2 linked regions of the Mus musculus genome follow. The protein of the gene in region 1 interacts with the protein of each later gene in a pairwise test. Links are inferred from orthologs where the notes say so. Each region holds a gene or a part of one and is shown on either strand. Other genes may lie near its edges.

Region 1 (3,817 bases):
TCAGTTTTCTCTTTTTCTTAACTATATTTTTCTTTATTTGGCCCTTACATTTTAAATGATTGTTAGTGATAACCAGAACACAAATAACAATTTAAAAATAAACACATGAACCATTTTACTTAATAGAAATAAATGTTCTCCTTTTTTTAAAAGATTTATTTATCTATCTATCTATTTATTTATTTATTTATTTATTTATTTATTTATTTATTTATTTATTATATGTAAGTACACTGTAGCTGTCTTCAGACACTCTAAAAGAAGGACTCAGATCTCATTACGGGTGGCTGTGAGCCACCATGTGGTTGCTGGAATTTAAACTCAGGGCCTTAGGAAGAGAGCAGTCAGTGCTCTTAACTGCTAAGCCATCTCTCCGGCCCCATGTTCTCTTGATTTCTGTATCGAGGTGAGAAAAATTTGAAACTACAAAAGCTCATTATATTTTACATATTTGTAGTAAAATAACACTGTACCTCTTTCTCTTATATTCTACATATTTATAGTAAAACAATGTGTACCTCTTTTATTATATTCTACATGCTTATAGTAAAATAGCACGTACCTCTTTCTCTTTCTCGAGTGACTTTTTCAGGTCCTCCTGCTCCTTCAGGGCACTCTCTGCCTGTACTTGAAGCTGATGCTTTAATTCTTTACAAGCTTTTTCCTAATAAAGAAACATCACACTGAAAACATCTGCAATGACTTACAAGTGATTTATCGGTTTAAAAGAAAAACAGAATGAACTAAACCAACCCCTACACACATGCCAGTTATGGCATTTAAATAAGATAATGACTTCTACCTGAGAAAAGAAATGTAACAACTAACCAAATCTAATACAGCAGCTTTTCCTTTCTGATTTTCTTTCTCAAATTCACTTTTGGAGTTTTTTAAAGAATCCGAAACTTTTGACAGTTTTTCTTTTGTTGTAGAAAGCTCGGCCAGGAGTGCGTCCTTCTGTGCCTTCACTGCTGTCAGCTCTGTGACCGCAGCTTGCATCCTGTCCCCCAGCTCCTTGTGCTGTGTCTTTGAATCTTGACTTAACTTTTCAAATTCTTGTTTCAAGACGACATTTTCTTCTTCTTTCTTGGTGAGGGTTTGTTTGATATTTTCAAGGATTTCAGATTTATTCTGTAGATCCAGTTTTGTACAAGATACTCTGGATTAAAAAAGAATTTTAAAAATTAATGTAATATAAAATTTATCAACCAAAATTATTTATAAGTGATTACTGAGTCTTGAATTTTTAATATGGTTCAGAAGAAAAAGTAAAATAATTTTAAAAACACTGAAATTTGCCTTAAGACATCTCATTAGATGCACGCGGTCTCCTCAGGAAGGGCCAAGTTAGTGACATTTCCTAACTTAATCAAGTCTGGACCACCACCATTTACTCATCAGAGAAATTCAGGTAACAAATCCTAGAGGGTCTACAACAACGCGCGCACACACACACACACTGAAACAAAACCACACTTGGTGACTCTCTAAAGTCGGTGTGAACAACCAACACCTTAGGGATGTACAGTGGGAGGCCAGCTTACACTTCCTCCTGCTCCTGGAGCTCTCTACTCAGCTCTGCATTTCTCAACTCCAGGTCTGTGCTCAGCTGCCTCTGCTGCTGTAGACTCTGCAAAGCCTGTTCCTTGCTGGCTTTAACTTCAAGAGCATCAGCTTCTAGTTTCTGTGGGTGAAGTACAGCATTCATTTGAATTTTGACAATGCCTAATGATTATTATAACATTTGGTCTGCATACAAATTGTTAGTGACAATATACAAAATAGCTATAATGCATTTATAGAAATCCATTCTGAAACCACCACTGAATGAGAAAATGGTTCTAATTAGGGTCTGTCAGATAATCTAGAATGGGCTTTTTACATAAATCAGTGGTTATTTTTAAAATTAATTATAAGAGAATCAATTTAAACATAAATATTAAAAATGCAAATGTTTGTCAATTTAAGTTAGAAAAACAAAACTAAGTAACAGGTTATTCCCATATCCACTTAAGATATATTATCTATGTATATGCAGTTAACAACTACAAAAATAACAAGATATTTAAAATAAAATTGAATGGATTTGTCATGTACTCCTCAAACTTATACCTACTGATCTTAAATATACAACACTTAAAATTCCTGACTTTGCTTATTAAGTGTTTTTGTTAATTATATCACTGTTGTTTATACTGTACCAGGCATCTCATACATATTATATGTCTGATTTTTTAAATTTATAAAATCAAGCTACTATATATAGTTTTAGATAGAAGCAATGTGCTTTCATTTCATCAGTGTGTGTGTGTGTGTGTGTGTGTGTGTGTTCTCATGTGTGTGCCTTTGGGGAGTGTCTACAGGTGGAGGACAAATACCAAAATTGAGTGTCTTTCTCAATCTCTCCATTTTCTTTTTCTAAGATAGGGCCTGTCACTGAAGCCCGCTTGGAGATCCAGATAGGCTGGCCAAACGTGAAGTTCCAGGGATCTTCCTTTCTCTGCGTGCCCAGCACAAACACCACAGGCCCTTTCCATCATGCCTGACATCTTATGTGGGTACCAAGTATCCAAGCTGGGGTCCTCCTGCTTACACGGCGGGGCTTTACTGACTGAGAAATCTCCCGAGACCTCAGTTAAGTATTTTTAAAATGAACCCCCAAAACATAGACATTATACATGCCAGTGGGGTACCTATAGTGTTATGCTTAAATCAAGTTAGACATATCTCATTTACCTTTGCTCTGTGCTAAAAACTTTCAAAGACTCATTTTCGTACCTTTTTGAAATGTATAGAATAAGGTGTTATCTATAATCTAGTACTGTGCAACAGCACCCCAGAGATTCTTGCTCTGATTACAACTATTTCAGAAAGGGGCCCAAGTAAGACTTATCTCTGTTTACTCTGTTTTCTGTAACATATTATCACCTATTCTTTTGAACCAGATCTAATCTGTCATTACTACTGCTGTTGGCATTTTAAAAGAACCACCCATAAATAGAATTGTAAAAGCCATTCTTTTATATTATACTGGTGTAGATGCCCATATAGAACACTCATCTCATAATTCTATAATCATACAGCTTGCATCAACTGATCATGGAAGTATAATAAACCTAAGGGTTTTTGTTGTTTAACTGTTAGTATTTCCAGAACAAAATTAAAGTTTCCCTGATCTGTCCAATTATTTCACCTTTTAGTAAACCAGCACCGCACTTAGAATTATCTTAAAGAAAGGCTGAGCTTATGATTGTCAAAAATGCATTACTAAATTAGACGCAAAGTCCAAAGGATATGGAAAGTTTTAAAAAGAATAAACACCACACCATAGAAGAAATGTTAGATTAGAATAATATGTAGGGAAATGGAAAAATCAAAGGGGAGAAGACATTCTATAACAAGACTTATACTGTTTGGTGTCTCCTGGGATACAATTTCCCTTTACAATAAACTAGCACTATGTTAATTTTTACTTATAAAAGCCACCCATTAATGAAGGAATTGAAAACAAAGATGGAAATATATTAATTGATAAAGTAATTTTTACATTTTTTACCCTTTTGTCTTTCTCTTTTACTTAACAATCTTTGAATCTGTAAAGGCCATCAAACCCCAAAGCTGTTGAGTGGAAAATACGACAAATCCGACTGGTTTTACACAAACCTTAATGTGGCCTTCTAAGTCTTCAACTTTTTGTTCTAAAGAGAGGTGCTTCTCCTTGTGATCCTTAAGGTGGCTTTCCAGCTGAATGCAATGCTCCTGCTTCTCCTGAAACTTTGCAGTGAGCTGATCCAACTGCACACTGACCTTATTTAAC
Region 2 (4,551 bases), about 33 Mb from region 1:
TATTTTTTTACTGAAAAAATGGTGTGGGTGATATTCTGAATGTGAATAAGCAGTATGTGTCCACCTAATCTCTGTACATGCAGGCCCTCCTGCCATGCTCTTTAGTGGGGTGTTTGTAAGGATGGAGAAACTGAAGAGCTTCCTTCCAACTTTCCCCTACTCACACAGGCACACCAATACAGAACACTGTTTCAATTCCTTCTTTTAGCAGCAACTTGAGTGGGCTTCAGGGGCCTTTGTCTCAACCCTCCATTTCCCAGGAAGTGTTCACCATTTTGTGTAGAGTTTTGTTTGTTTGGTCTGGTTTTGAAATTGTGTGTGCATGTGAGCCACAAGTGCCCGCAGAGGCCAGAAGAGGGCATATCATCTCTCCTAGAGTTACAGGCAGCTGTGAGCAGTGGTACTGGGAACAGGCCTTGGGTCTTCTACCGGAAGTGTATGCTTCTCTAGCTTGCCTCTAGGCCCTAGGTTCAATCCTCAGTACCGAAAAAAAAAAAAAATCCTCAGCAAAGTTGTCTAAATGTTTTTTCACATTTACAAACAATTCAGAAAATATCAATGTGAAAATATTTAGGAGGCTAAAGTGTCTTCAGACTACCACTTTCTGTTGTCATGGCAATTCACCCCAAAACTACTGTTCTCTAGTGCGCCACTAAAAAGAATTTACAAGATAAAAGTTGTTTAATTTCCTGGTTTTGGGTCTTTACTTTTTTTTTTTTTTTTTTTTTTTTTTTTTTTTTTTGGTTTTTCGAGACAGGGTTTCTCTGTGTAGCCCTGGCTGTCTTGGAACTCACTTTGTAGACCAGACTGGCCAGACTCAGAAATCCGCCTTGCCTCTGCCTTCCCAGTGCTGGGATTAAAGGCGTGCACCACCATGCCCAGCAGGGTCTTTACTTTCTTAATTTGACACAGAAAGCAGGGCACGGGGAGAAGAGAAGGTTAATGCTGGTATCATTGTTTTTTGTTTTTGTTTTTTTGGGGGGGGGACATCGTTGTGTAGCTTGGAACTCATGGAGATCCTCCCGATTGCTAGGATTAAACATGTGGGCCACCAAGCCCAGTTTACTCCCCTCCCCATCCCCCTTATACTGAGGTCTTGTTAAACTGAGTATCCCGGGTTAGCCTCAAACTCAGAACTGCCTCCACCCCAATCCACTGTGCTGAGATTGGGAGTGCCACACCACACCCGACCAAAAGCCTTCTTCACTTCTTCACTAGCCTTGCCTGCCTGTCAAATTCGGAAATTTCCCAATACTGGTTAAAATTTCCTTTTGACCCGCCTTCTTCACTCACCTGATTAGATGTTTACGAGTCGAGAGGCGGGGGAGGGGTGTCACGGGTGTTGAGGTTCTATTGGCTGACGCACATGCCTGTCAGTGATGCACTGCCCCCTTTCCCAGGAGCTCTCTCTTTAATGGCTACTTATCCCGTCAATCTTCAAGGCTTCTCGTGTAGGTATTGGCTTGCGGCCTCGCCAATCCAGTCTCTCACTTGTGCTAGTTGGTGATAGTCCCTCAGAGCCCGCCTTTCTCCAGAAGATTGGCGGGCGGACGCTCACATAGCCCACCCACCACGGTAGGCGGGTGATCTTGCGATTGGCTGGAGCCGCCCCGGCGAGGAGGAGGAGGAGGAGGAGGCGAAGGGGGTAGGAGTTTGGTTGAGCTGCAGCTGTTTGTCTGTTCCACACAGGCTTGGGCCCGACGGGGGATACGGAGCCCCAGGTACCGAGCTGATGGAGCCCACAAGGGCAGAGGCGGAGGTCCCGAGAGGAGCGCCGCCTGGCCTGTGGCAGAGGCGGGGCGGGCCGACGTCAGGGCTCCAGAACCTCCTGGAGAGGGCCGAAGGGGCTGTCCCACAGGCCTAGTGGGCGCTGAGGAGGTGATCGGCAGGGCTGGGAGCCGAGCCTCTAGTTGGGAGGCGGCTGGGTTCTGGCTGTGGTGGCCGCTCGGGGGCCGGGCGCGGGGACCCGGAGCCGGTGAGGACCAGGGCCGGCCTCGGGACTCTGAGCACCGCGGTGAGGAGGGAGGAGCTGGGGTCGGAGACCAGGCAGTGAGGGAGGGGAAGCCAGCCCATTTGGCTGGAGGTGTGGAGGGGACAGTGCTACGCCCAGCCCCGAGGGTAGCCGAGGCTGGGTCTCCCGAGACATCCACTGTTGGGGCTCTTAGCCGAGAGAGGCATTCTTTTCAGGGAAAGTGACTGTTGAAAGGGGAACTAGGGGTACTGGTGTTGCCGAGAGGGATTTGGTCTCACTGAAGTCAATGAAGAATGTAGAAGACCAAAGTGGAAGGAAGTAGAAACGGTTTGCTATTAGTAATGGGAACTTCTGGAATGATGGTGAGGGGAGGCTCAGTATCTTGGAAGTTCCTTACTCTTCTGTTCCTTTAGTGCTTGGGTGTGGTGATTTGAAGTTTTGGGGTACTTCAGGAATAGGGAATGAAGACAAAGGTAAAATTATGTATTATTCCATGGCGCCTGGCAGCTCTACGTCCAGCCCCCCCCCCCCACACACACACACCACTTTAGTTTACCCTGACCTCATAGCTAGTCATGACTGCACTCCTGTTTCCTTTAGGTTTGCTATTGTATTCGTTGTTTTTCCTATTTCATCTACTGTGAGAGAACTAAGAAAATTTGGGAGTGCTTTGCTCAGTCTTTCCCACTTCATAATGTGATCTGTGGTGACTACGCTTATTTAACCTAGATTTGAGGAACTCTGTCATTTGCATGGAAAGGGGCAAAGCAATCCCCAGCCATTAAAAAAAAAAAAAAAAAAAAAAAAGGACCATGTTTATTGAAACTTCTGTGAGACTTGCACTTGAGCATTTCCTAGATAGTTAATGGGACAGACTATTCACGCCAGGAACTGTGAGGTGATATCCCTGAAGGGATTTGGGGAAGAATTGAGAGGTTAGCTACCAGAAGGTTGGCACCATCCTTTCTTCTTTGCCCACTTATTCAGGAACGTGTGTGTGTGTGTGTGTGTGTGTGAGATTAGTTATTTAGGTCAAACCTTGAGGTATTTAGAAAGATGGATTATAGAGAATGAAGAAGTCTTTAAATTATATTATATGTAATAACCTGCATACATATGTGAGCCACAATGTCAGAGGATAACTTGTGGCTGTTTGGTATTCAAACATGGCATGTGTGTGTGTGTGTGTATGTATGCATACATATATACACACACACACACATATAGAGGGAGGGGTTTGCTAACCTGTCAAATTTTTTATAGATTGGACCCTATTGGTTTCTCCCTTAGGGTTCTACCTCCTCTTCCTCCTCCTCTTTCCTTTCTATACTAATGTTAGTGATCACTGAATTTATTTATTTTTTTTACCACATAGTGTCCTGCATATATACCACATGCATGCAGGACCCCTCAGAGGTCAGAAAAGGTACTAGACCCGCTGGACAATTAGGAGCTGCCGTGTTGGTGCTGGAAACTGAACACAGGTCTCTTACAAGAGCACTAAGGGCCGCCAAGCCATCTCCATAACTTGTATCACTACATTTCTTAATTATCAAAGTAACACATACATATATTAAAGTGTTTAAGCTGTACAGAAATATATAAAATCTGAGTCCTTCTATACATAGCTTATTTCATTTAGGACAGTTAGAGGTATTAAATAAGACTAATCAAGAGCAGAATACTATGGAAAGAATGAGACCATCATTTAGTGAGCACATGAAAAAAACCCAAGCAAAGACAGGTTTTTTTCATGTGCTCCTAAATGCTGTTCTCATTCTCTCCACGACATTCTCTTGGATGACACTCTGCTATTTATTGTGTTCCCTTTGCCGTTCATCTTGCCTTCTATCAAATTCAGAACAAACATAGAGCTGTCCTTTGAGTTATCATTTGCCTTCTTCAGTGTATACACATAGTGGTGCACTGGGTAGTCTAGAAACCGCCCAAATGCATAATAAGCAAGACTTTTATAGGCAAGAAAGAAACAATAAGGGGAATAATTTTGTTTAGGATAGTTGTTAGCATCTCTACTAGAGTGAAGAATCAGAAACCCCTCGTTCATCCACATTTTCACAGTACTTGACTGTCTCTTCCTTATCTCAGGGAGATGGTCATGGTTCCAGAAGAGGGTCTTGTACCTGGCTTGGTATAGTGACCCAAGAAGTTCCCATATTTCTCTGAATTTGAACTTGGACTTTTTTGACTTTTTGAAGCCCTCTAATATGGTCATTGCACGGTGTCCAGCAAAAACCTCAGTTTACCCCTCCTCCCACTTTCTCACCTACACAGTCAGTCCTGGAGAAAACTATTGGGATGTGTGTATGTGTGTTCACCCTCTGTAATCTTTGCCATCCTTTTGTTTTGTTTTGTTTTGTTTTGTTTTTCGAGACAGGGTTTCTCTGTATAGTCCTGACTGTCCTGGAACTCACTTTGTAGACCAGCCTGGCCTCTAACTCAGAAATCCACCTGCCTCTGCCTCCCAAGTGCTGGGACTAAGGCATGCGCCACCACGCCCGGCTGAGGTTTTTTTTGTTTGTTTGTTTGTTTGTTTTGGTTTTATTTTGTTTTGCTTTTCC

Evidence for each region.
Region 2: the proteins of Eea1 (region 1) and Rab5b interact in binary tests that used the Homo sapiens proteins (3 or more experiments, as listed by UniProt). The link is inferred for Mus musculus from reciprocal best matches to the Homo sapiens genes EEA1 and RAB5B.

The regions. Positions count from the first base shown.
Region 1 is NC_000076.6:96,023,899-96,027,715, reverse strand, and holds part of Eea1 (early endosome antigen 1), read right to left. Parts: coding exon 3,664-3,817; intron 1,685-3,663; coding exon 1,545-1,684; intron 1,160-1,544; coding exon 829-1,159; intron 665-828; coding exon 563-664; intron 1-562. UniProt on the Homo sapiens protein: Binds phospholipid vesicles containing phosphatidylinositol 3-phosphate and participates in endosomal trafficking.
Region 2 is NC_000076.6:128,693,356-128,697,906, reverse strand, and holds the start of Rab5b (ras-related protein Rab-5B), read left to right. Parts: upstream 1-1,638; 5' UTR 1,639-1,721; exon of another isoform or gene 1,722-2,019; intron 2,020-4,551. UniProt on the Homo sapiens protein: The small GTPases Rab are key regulators of intracellular membrane trafficking, from the formation of transport vesicles to their fusion with membranes.